Linked DNA regions of Rattus norvegicus. The protein of the gene in region 3 interacts with the protein of the main gene of each other region in a biochemical or structural test. Links are inferred from orthologs where the notes say so. Each region holds a gene or a part of one and is shown on either strand. Other genes may lie near its edges.

The links.
Region 1: the proteins of Snw1 (region 3) and Vdr form a complex in vitro, tested with the Homo sapiens proteins (2 studies listed by BioGRID, with this or other methods). The link is inferred for Rattus norvegicus from reciprocal best matches to the Homo sapiens genes SNW1 and VDR.
Region 2: the proteins of Snw1 (region 3) and Ppil1 form a complex in vitro, tested with the Homo sapiens proteins (2 studies listed by IntAct, with this or other methods). The link is inferred for Rattus norvegicus from reciprocal best matches to the Homo sapiens genes SNW1 and PPIL1.

What each region holds. Positions count from the first base shown.
Region 1 is NC_086025.1:130,913,869-130,917,616, reverse strand, and holds the start of Vdr (vitamin D3 receptor), read left to right. Parts: upstream 1-859; 5' UTR 860-876; intron 877-3,748.
Region 2 is NC_086038.1:7,315,976-7,319,723, reverse strand, and holds the start of Ppil1 (peptidyl-prolyl cis-trans isomerase-like 1), read left to right. Parts: upstream 1-942; 5' UTR 943-1,121; coding exon 1,122-1,177; intron 1,178-2,751; exon of another isoform or gene 2,752-2,832; intron 2,833-3,242; coding exon 3,243-3,397; intron 3,398-3,748. UniProt on the Homo sapiens protein: Involved in pre-mRNA splicing as component of the spliceosome. PPIases accelerate the folding of proteins. Catalyzes the cis-trans isomerization of proline imidic peptide bonds in oligopeptides. Catalyzes prolyl peptide bond isomerization in CDC40/PRP17.
Region 3 is NC_086024.1:112,833,340-112,836,987, reverse strand, and holds part of Snw1 (SNW domain-containing protein 1), read left to right. Parts: intron 1-3,335; coding exon 3,336-3,452; intron 3,453-3,648. UniProt on the Homo sapiens protein: Involved in pre-mRNA splicing as component of the spliceosome. As a component of the minor spliceosome, involved in the splicing of U12-type introns in pre-mRNAs.

The DNA.
Region 1 (3,748 bases), on a different chromosome or scaffold from region 3:
GCATACATCCTCCTACTCAAAGGAGGGAGTCCTATCGACCCATTTCTTTCAGCATCTGGTGAGTAGAGAGTAACCTTTATCTAATTTTTCTACGAGTTCTCAGTAGCCACCCATAGTTCCAGGTCTTGAGGTGTATTTTGTGCCTGTTTCATTCCTTCACACAAGGGCTCTGTGGCAAGAGAGGATCTGGGAGGCAGAGACCTCAGAAGTTAAGGCAAAGCCCGCTGGAACGAGACGCAATTAGCCAGGAACATGTTCCGTCGCTGTAGTTAACAGAGGAATGTCAGGTAGGAGAGAGGCCGCAACTCCAACTTCCATTCCCGTCTCCTTGAGCTAATCCTAACCAGTGGAGTCCGGCTGAGCGCCCTGCAGGAGAAAGTCGTCGGCGATTCCCCACTGGCGCGCCGAGGACGGCTCCCTGCAGCGCGCCGCGGGCATCGGGGTCCCGGGTCAACTCAGGTACGGGTGACACACCTGGCGGAGGCGTCTACAGCAGACTGGGTAGAACCACGGCGGCGGGGGTGGGTGGCGGATACGTCACAGGTCACCACCGGCAGAAACGTGTATTTACACACACGATATCATCAAAGATTGCCCCACGGAAGGCAGACGCCTGCGCTGCGCTGTGGCCGGCGATCCTAGAGCCTCTCACAAGGCAGGGTCTCCAAGGCGACAGTGCAGTGGTTGCTTCCAAGTCAAGAAAGTTTCAGAGCTGCAGAGGACTGAACCTAGTGGGCGTGGTTGAGGGGCAGGGCGGTCCGGAGGTGGGGCCTTGCAGGGGCGGGGCCAGGTGCTGAGCAGTCTCTGCTTGTCAAAAGGCTGCTGTCGAGCCCCAAGCGCAGGGAGCGCCAAGCAGTGTGTCCACCGCCAGACCAGGTGCGAATCGGGGAGCAGGGGGAAGGGAGTCCTGGGTGAGTGATTAGACCCGGGGCGGGCGTCTTGGGTCTAGAGGTCTGAGTGTCCAGGTACAAACACTAGAGTCTAAGACTCTAAAAAAGCAAAAGTTGGGGACTGAGAACCGGGCTGTGGTGCCATGAGGTTGGGACTCTGAGAGGGCACCCAAGTCTGAGAAAGCTGAAGTTGCGATGCTCAGGACGCTCAGCTTAGGAGTCCTTCGCTAGGCGGGTGCTCAGCACTCGACAACAAGAAGCGTTTGTTTCTTTCCTCGGACCGGCGCTTTGGCTTTGGAGTCGGGGAGTAAGAAAGGGAACGATTGGCTGTCGATGGTGTTAAGGTCTCTGGAGGTGGAGTGTGGGGAGCCTGTTTATTACCTGTTTATTACCCCGCGGAGCCCATGTGTGATCACCTGTGATAATGGAGTGGACTAATTTAAATGGAGTTTTCCTTTCTTGACTTTCTAAAGTCACCGGTGCTTTGAGACTAGTGTGCTGGGTTTCTCTTTCAGGAGAGCCTGTCTACAGATGTGCGAGGTTGGGGGGTTTCAGGGGCGAGCATGGAAATTGAGAAAGGGGTTTTAAGGAATAGTTTCTGTTTGGAGAGGGAAGGGACTTGATCCAGGAGGAGAATCTAGGTATGTGATCTCGAGGTCCACGGTCTCCTCTATGACTATCCCCCCACCTGAGGCTGAATCTGCCTGGGCTCTGGGAGCCTTGGCTCTCTGAGCCTAAGCCACCCTTCTCCTCCTGCTGCTGCTCCTCCTCCTCGTGTTCCTCCTCCTCTTCCTCCTCCTTCTCCTCCTCCTCCTCTTTGTGGTGAGTGAGTCAGCCTCCTGTCTGGGCCCAGAAGCAGTGAGAGGGGCCAGAGCCCAGGCAAGCAGTTGGGCAGGCATTTTCTGGGCATTGCAAAAATTCCCTTGGACAGAGTTCAGGTCTGCTCCAATGCCCTGAGGAAGGCATCTTCTTCATGACAGCAGGGGGTAGGGGTGTCAGCAATGGCTGTTTGATGGACAAGGGATGATTCCAGGAGATGACCATGAAGAGACAGTGGTTTTGTGGTAAATCCATACCTCTTCCTATTTTTACGAACTAGAGATACAGCCCAAGACTGTGGACTTACCAGCTACTGGTTCCATTTCTACTTTGCCAGATACCCATCTTGTCTCATAAGACAGGCATGCAGGAGAAATCAGAAGGTTCAGGGAGCAGAAAATGCAAGGAATGGTTTCCCCAGGCTTGGGAGCGAGGACCCTTAACTCTGTGAACTAAGGGTATTTTACAGTTAGGGGACCATCTCTATTCCTTCCTTAGCTGAAGACTAGAAAGAATTGCGTGGATCTCGCTGAAATACTTCTCGGTACTGGCATGCAGCCAGAGCAGGAGGCAGTAAGAGTAAAAGTCTCTGGTTTTGTTTTGGATACTAGAGACCCCTTGAGCAGAAATAGGTGACCTGGGGGCCTTACCCGGTACCCTTTACTAGCTTGTCTGAGGCCACAGGGAGGCCATAGAAACATTGTCTCAAACTGCAAAAGGTAGGAATCCCCAGTCAGTGTTCCTGGTTCTCTGTTACTTGGTTCCCAACCAAGATGGAGGACGGACTAGTAAAGGAGAGAAAGAAGGAGATTTGGGCAGCTTAGAAGAGACCCTCATTCTTCTCCAGGTACAATCATAAAGTCTGTGTATTCTCTAGAGGCCCTGATCTGTTGAGCTCTACTTACTTATAACATGGTCTCTCAGTCTCCCTCCCACCCACCCACCCAGCCCCCCTCTGAACTGATCTCTTGGAGGGATTGAGTCCCTTGGGAAGCCCCCAAAGACCCCCTGAATCTGCCTTCAGCACAGATTGCAGATGCACAAAGCCTAGGCTTCCAGAAGGCCTAGGGTCTAAATGGCGAGACCAAGAAGTTACCCAATCTTATACTTTAGGGATTGGCTGAGATCAGCCCCTTGGCTGCTGTTGTCTACACAGCAGAGAGGCAAGGCCAGGGTGCCGGGATACCCTACTCTAATTTGTAGCTGGAGAGTGGGTGAGGGGGCTCAAGCTTCCGTTTGCCACTGCTGTGAGCTCATGCAGGTGGAGGGAATAAGGACAGGGCCATATTGAAGTGGGAGCCTTCTGTGTGTCCCAGCATGGTGGCAGCCCCCTCCTCCAAGGGGTGCCAGCAGAGGAGGGCTCAGCCTCCAAATCAAGCTCCAGGAGGATCAGCAGCTCTGGCTGTCTACCGTTGCTGTTCAGTCCGGGGAGGCTCTGACTGGGCTGAAGCCAGCCTAGCAGCAGCTCTGTACTACCAGGACCTCCCTTTTCATTACGCGTCTCTCCCGTTTTGCCCTTAACCTTGCTTCACGCCAGTGTCTGATGGATACGCCAAAAAAGAAAAAAGAGGGCTGGAGAGATGGCTCAGCCGTTAAAGGCTAGGCTCACAACCAAAAATATAAGAAAAAAGAAAAAAAAAGCGACCGTATGATTTATAATCCGAACTGGGATTCTCATGTGTGAAGGGGGTTTTGTGTGTGTGGCGACGCCAAGACATTAACCCAAAGCAGGGTAAGCCGGATACCGAATCATCCAAACCCAGGAGAGGTCACACTGAGTGATAAAGGGACAAGGGGGCTTGGGGAGACTTAAGGCTGAGGTGAAGGTGGGACAGCACGATCCTGAGGGCAGCCCCAGCACCCCAGTCCACTCTCTGGCCTAGTCAGCCAACTCCAGTCCTTCCTTAAGGGTAGAGTTGCCCCTGGCCACTTTGCCCCCAGACTTAGCCCACCACTGTAGCGACTTTCCTTTGTCCTTCACTTGTGACTGCCCTTGCCATTGTTTTTTTTTTCCCTGTGCCTCTGCAGCTCACAGAGAG
Region 2 (3,748 bases), on a different chromosome or scaffold from region 3:
GTGGGTGGTTGGGAGGGCAGATGCATCTTAGAACTGAAGAACGCCTTGTAAATATTTTCCTACTTCTTTGTTGTTAATTATGGGATGTTTAATATAAAATATACATTCCCCCCATGGCTCATTGAACTTGGCAAGAGCTGTTTGGGCTAGACTGGGTGGCTAGCCAGCTCCGTGGATTTCTTCCCTGTGGCCTCTTTCACGGTTCCTGAGGTCACAAGTGTATATCTGCCTGGCATTTGCATGAGTCCCCGGGACCTAAATTTAGGTACTTTACCCACTAAGCCCTGTAAGGCAAGCAGTCCACCAAGTGACCTGCATTTACAGCCCTGAGGATACTAATTTATTCATTCCATCTCTGTCTTGTCCTCCCACCAGACCTCTGGACTCTTGTTTCTCCTATCACCCTGAACAACTTTGGGTGCTACATCTGCCGCTCCAGCGGTGGGCGCTTGCACCACCACCTCCTTGGGACAGTCATCTTAAGCCTTGTCATTCTCTTCCCAGCCTTTCCCTCTTTCCACACGCTCCTTGCTTTTGGAGTCTGTGATTTGCCGCGTGGCACTTAACTGCGGAATCTCAGTTTTCTCCTCTTAAAAACAGGACTACTATTATTCACAGGATTGTTTTAAGGAACGCTGGGAGTGGTGGTACATGCCTTAAATCCAGCACTCGGAGAACAGAAACAGGCTGATCTTCATGAGTTCGAGGCCAGTCTGGTCTACATGAGTTGCGGGACAGCCAGGGCTGCGTAGTAAGTAGTCTCTGAGTCATCCAATTGCGGGAACTAAGAAATTCTTCACTGTTTGGACATCCCTCCAATCACAGTGAAGAAGGCTGTTCCCGCCTTCCGTGCCTAAACAGACCAATCACCGTTCCGGAGCATGGCGCGAATCGCCTCTGGAGAATCTTGCACTTGTCTGGGTCCCTGCACTGAGCATCTCGACTTGCAATCAACCCCTTTCCGAGCTTCGAAAGAAGGATCCCTTGTCATCCTTATCCCACAGCCTTAAATCCTCTCACCCAAACCGGCTGATCGGCGGGAACCGGAAGTGTGCACCAGGGACGGGTCCCAGTGAACTCCGCCGGAAGTAGTGATTGCTAGGGGATTCCCTTCGCTCAGCATGGCGGCGATCCCCCCAGACACTTGGCAGCCGCCCAACGTCTACCTGGAGACTAGGTGAGGGTTGGAGAGGGGAGGAATTGGCCGAGGACACGCGGGTTCGTGCCGCAGCGGCCAGGTTAAGAAAGGCCAGCCTGACTCGCAGGTTGCCCACACGGAGCTGCGGCCGGGAGTACCTGTGGGCTCTGAAGGAGCCCCTCCAACGTCGTGGGAGACTTCGGCTACTTCTGCCTGCTGTTCTTTTCCCACGCCGTTCATTAGTTCATTTACCTCTGTCCATCTTCATTCATTCATCCCCTCACTCACTTATTCTCAACAAGTGTGTGTTGAGCATACAAGTTGTGTAGGGTAATACAAACCTGGGTAAAACACTATATTATGGTGAAGGAGACGGATATGTAAACACTGTGGGACAAGTAGTAGAGTTGTCTGAACAAATTGCTTTGAAACTAGAGGAAGATTTATTTTCTCCACCATCTAGAGTGATCTTTGAGCTGGGCATATATGGTTTAGCATCCCTAAGGCCCCCGAGCTCAGCACCTTGTATACTCCGTGTGGTTGCACATGCCTATAATCCTAGCACTCTGGAGATGGAAGCCCGAGGATCGAAAGTTCAGGATCTGGGCTGGACTGGAATGCTTACCTAACAGTGTGTGTGTGTGTATATATATATATTTTTTTTTCTTTTTTTCGGAGCTGAGGACCGAACCCAGGGCCTTGTGCTCGCTAGGCAAGCGCTCTACCGCTGAGCTAAATCCACAACCCCATATATTATTATTATTATTATGATGATGATGATGATGATGATGATGCCACCTACTAGTGCCATGCCTCAGGTGTGTGTGATTATGTTCTGTTTACTATTGTTAGCAGCTCCTATCCAAAGGCCTTGTTTCACATACTTGCTTCCCGTTTTAGCAGAGAAATGCCACATTTTGCAGATTTACCTGCAAACTGATTTTCATAGTGATTTGAAGGGAACCTTACTTGGAGCCTGGTCAACACTTCTACTGACTTTAGCCCCGTTTCGTCTGCCCCTGCCTCCGGAGTGTAGACTTTAAGAAGGCACACACTACCACTCCCAGGGCTACAGAGTGCTCATATTGCTGGACCTCCTGAATCTGGGCCGTACAGATTCAACTCAGTCCTTAAGTCCTTAGAGCTCAGTGGGTGACAAACAGCAGGAGGCCCCTGCCTTGTCTCCTGCTTCTGTCTTATCCTTAAAGGTACTAGGGGAAGAGAATAAAAGTTCTCATCCTGGGTCTGTGTGGACATACGAAGTAACCAGCTTTAGTGTGTGCTTTACGCATTCTCTTTAGATTTGATTTCTAACATGTGTGTGGGTATGTGCACATGAGCACAGAGGCCAGAGATACGGGGAACCCTGGAAAGGGATGTATAGGTGGTTGTGAGGCCTCCTGGTGTGAGTGCTGGGAACTGATCCTTTGTAAGAGCTGTACATGCTCTTAGCAGCTGAGTCATCTCCAGCCCTGTTTGACCCACTCTTTAATGCACAAACTGCTTTTATTTTCCTGTTCAAATTTAGTTTTAATGGGTGATACGTTTACATGATCAAAAAATGTAGAAGTTAGAAAAACTATTTCTTCCTTCCTTTCTTTTTTTTTTTTTTTTTCTGGAGCTGGGGACCGAACCCAGGGCCTTGTGCTTACTAGGCAAGCGCTCTACCACTGAGCTAAATCCCCAACCCCAGAAAAACTATTTCTTGCCCTCTTATCTGGTCAGCTGCCACTCCCCCCCTACCCCCACACCCTTGTTCTGCAGCCCCCAGACAGATGGAGATGTATATAAACACACTTTAATGTCTTTTTATCACATCTACAGATGACACGCAAGGTCCTGTCCCTTGTTTGGGGGTTGGTTTCAGAGCATCCGTACATGCCCTTAGAATTTTGGCTTGCTTATGCTTGGCTTTGCTTAGCACATATGCCAGAAGCTGCCCTGCGTGTTCACACTCAGGTGGGTCGGCCGTGGCCCCGTTGCTTTGTGGGTCGCTTCCTTCCGAGTGTGAACTCTGGGCACAGCTAGCCGCCTCGCACAGACAGCCGGCAGGAGTCTTGGAGCGACTGCCTGCTCTGACCTTGCCGCCTGTTCTCCACTGCAGCATGGGAATCATTGTGCTGGAGCTGTACTGGAAGCACGCTCCAAAGACCTGCAAGAACTTCGCGGAGCTGGCTCGGAGGGGCTACTACAACGGCACCAAGTTCCACAGGATCATCAAGGACTTCATGATCCAAGGCGGAGACCCGACAGGCACAGGTACTTAAGATTGAGCCACCATCTGCTTCTTCCGTCTCATTCTGTCATAATTGGATGACAGGGTCTCATAGCCTAGGCTAGCCTTCCTACTCTCTGAGACTGATCTAATCTTCTGATCTTCAAGCCCTAACCTCCTCGCTGCTGGGATTTCTGCCTGCTGCCATGTGCAGTATTTGTAGTGCTGGGGATTGAACCGAGGGCTTAAAGTATACTGGGCAAGCACTCCACCACTTCCCATCATCAGCACTCTGCCAAATGGATTACATCAGTAGCTGCACGCACGCACCCACGTACACCTTACCCCACCACCACCACCACCACCACCAGGGTTATCAGTGTAGCCCAGGTTGT
Region 3 (3,648 bases):
TTTCTTTTCTTTTTTTTTTTTTTTTTTTATTAACTTGAGTATTTCTTATTTACATTTCGAATGTTATTCCCTTTCCCGGTTTCCGGGCCAACATCCCCCTAATCCCTCCCCTTCTTTATGGGTGTTCCCCTCCCCATCCTCCCCCCATTGCCGCCCTCCCCCCACCAGTCTAGTTCACTGGGGGTTCAGTCTTAGCAGGACCAAGGGCTTCCCCTTCCACTGGTGATCTTACTAGGATATTCATTGCTACCTATGGGGTCAGAGTCCAGGGTCAGTCCATGTATAGTCTTTAGGTAGTGGCTTAGTCCCTGGAAGCTCTGGTTGCTTGGCATTGTTGTACATATGGGGTCTCGAGCCCCTTCAAGCTCTTCCAGTTCTTTCTCTGATTCCTTCAACGGGGATTCTATTCTCAGTTCAGTGGTATGCTGCTGGTATTCGCCTCTGTATTTGCTGTATTCTGGCTGTGTCTCTCAGGAGCGATCTACATCCGGCTCCTGTCGGTCTGCACTTCTTTGCTTCATCCATCTTGTCTAATTGGGTGGCTGTATATGTATGGGCCACATGTGGGGCAGGCTCTGAATGGGTGTTCCTTCAGTCTCTGTTTTAATCTTTGCCTCTCTATTCCCTGCCAAGGGTATTCTTGTTCCCCTTTTAAAGAAGGAGTGAAGCATTTTGATCATCCGTCTTGAGTTTCATGTGTTCTATGCATCTAGGGTAATTCAAGCATTTGGGCTAATAGCCACTTATCAATGAGTGCATACCATGTGTGTTTTTCTGTGATTGGGTTACCTCACTCAGGATGATATTTTCCAGTTCCAACCATTTGTCTATGAATTTCATAAAGGCATTGTTTTTGATAGCTGAGTAATATTCCATTGTGTAGATGTACCACATTTTCTGTATCCATTCCTCTGTTGAAGGGCATCTGGGTTCTTTCCAGCTTCTGGCTATTATAAATAAGGCTGCGATGAACATAGTAGAGCACGTGTCTTTTTTATATGTTGGGGAATCTTGTGGGTATACGCCCAAGAGAGGTATAGCTGGATCCTCAGGTAGTTCAATGTCCAATTTTCTGAGGAACCTCCAGACTGATTTCCAGAATGGTTGTACCAGTCTGCAATCCCACCAACAATGGAGGAGTGTTCCTCTTTCTCCACATCCTCGCCAGCATTTGTTGTCACCTGAGTTTTTGATCTTAGCCATTCTCGCTGGTGTGAGGTGAAATCTCAGGGTTGTTTTGATTTGCATTTCCCTTATGACTAAAGATGTTGAACATTTCTTTAGGTGTTTCTCAGCCATTTGGCATTCCTCAGCTGTGAATTCTTTGTTTAGTTCTGAACCCCATTTTTTAATAGGGTTATTTGTCTCCCTGCAGTCTAACTTCTTGAGTTCTTTGTATATTTTGGATATAAGGCCTCTATCTGTTGTAGGATTGGTAAAGATCTTTTCCCAATCTGTTGGTTGCCGTTTTATCCTAACCACAGTGTCCTTTGCCTTACAGAAGCTTTGCAGTTTTATGAGATCCCATTTGTCGATTCTTGATCTTAGAGCATAAGCCATTGGTGTTTTGTTCAGGAAATTTTTTCCAGTGCCTGGGGACATTTCTTGAAGCCTTAGCTCCTCAGTTAGCTTACCATTCACAATAAGAAATTACAACTCCCGAGAGCAGAGCTTAGTGGACGAGCACACATTTAGCATCTGAACCTGATGTACCCCAAAGACGAGAGACAGCTTCATAGGGCACTTTAAAATACACTAGATGTGTTGCTATACCAGTCCCTTGAATACCATGTAAATCTCTCTGGTATATCATAGCTATCAGAAGCACATAGATGAGAGATAGAGAGAGGGAGGAGGAGAGAGAGAGAGAGAGAGAGAGAGAGAGAGAGAGAGAGAGGGAGAGGGAGAGAGAGAATGAATATGAATATGAATGAGAGAGAATACCCTATTGGTTGAAGATTAATTCTTCATGAAGGTCAAACTTCTAGGTTAGAGTTATTTCCAGAAAAAATATCTCATTGTTCACATGAGAAAGGACAGCATGAGTTTTCAGGGGTAGGGAGGTGGTTAGGGGGGGTTCACTCCTTTGTTTCTTTTTAGCTATTCTGCTGTGTAGCATTGCTGTTCATGGTATTGTCAGGAGTGGTGTTCATGCTTGTGACTCCTGCACACATGAAGCGAAGCAGGGGGATAACAAGTTGAAGGCTACTCTGGACTACATAGCAAGATCTTGTCTGAAAAAATAAGCCCTAAAAATAAAACCTTCTGTTGCAGGGCCTGGTGGCACACTTGAGGTGCAGGCAAGCCAATATCTATAGGTTTGTGGCCAGTCTGGTCTAAGAGTGAGTTTTAGGACAGCCAGAATTGTATAGAGAGACCCAAATACATAGACTCAAAAAACAAACAAACAAAAAATCTTATGTACCTCAGATGCCAGAGCTTCCGGAGTTAGTGAGGGTCTATAAATTATGGGATACATTTCCAAGTTCTAGTTTCTTATAGGATTGGAGTCTACTGCATGAGTCATATTGATGGGTGAAGGCGGAAACTTTAGACCAAGAATTAAATATGAAATTACATAGTCGTGCTCCACTGGAAAGGCTCTGAACCATCTTATGTGGGTTGATTCATATCTATGCAACACTGTGGTCTGTTGAGATGACACTGAAGCACTGTGGGTCTTCATTTATCTATGGATCTTTTTCATATGGTTCTTTATATTTTTGCTTTGGGGCCAAGGTCTCAGTCTGTAGCCTGGAACTTGCTGTGTGGGCCAGACTGGTCCTGAACTTGTAATCTCAACTGTGGTTGCAGACACGTAGCAGCACGCCCAGCCAGCACTGCTTCACGTTAGGAGACAATGGATTTAAGGGTAGCATTTGATAGATGAGTTAGAAATCGGGAAACATAAAGCCAGGCCTGAAAGATATGATTCCAACAGAAGTTCAGCATACTCCCTGGGTACAAGCAGTTTGTCTGCATTCTTAGGACCTAATTTTACTGTAGTCTGACTATTGGACGGCAGGCTTAAACACTTGGGCTCTTGCATCATCATGTTAGTGATCCAGTCTTAGTTCTTCCATTTACTGACTGAATTTGCCACCATCCCTTGGCGCTCTACCCCACCTTCCTGTGAGAGGGAGATGTGTGGCAGCCTCATGCAGTTAACTAGGGTGACTAGAGCATGAACCCTCCATCGAAAGCCTTTACTGTTGTGTAAAGGACGTGAGTGTAAGAGATAGAAATGTGAGTGTTCTCAGAACGGGCATGCGCTAGTAATGTTCTGTGATAACTGCAGCCCCACTGTGCTGACCTGCCTTCGGCTTTCATTTCAGGGGTATACGATTCCACTAGATAAACGGCTGGCTGCTGATGGAAGAGGACTTCAGACTGTCCACATCAATGAAAATTTTGCCAAACTGGCTGAAGCCCTATACATTGCAGATCGGAAGGTTGGTCTTTTACAGTTTGCTGAGTGTTTGTGCATCTGTGAGCCCACATCAGTTTACCTGAGATCTATAGGGACACTGGCAAGTGTGTACACCAATGGCAGCAGGGGCTAGGTACAGCTCTGTCCGGAGACCTCTAGCAGCATTGGTCCTCCTGTGCCAGAGTATTGTTTCCCTAGGCTAACCTAATTCTTTGAGG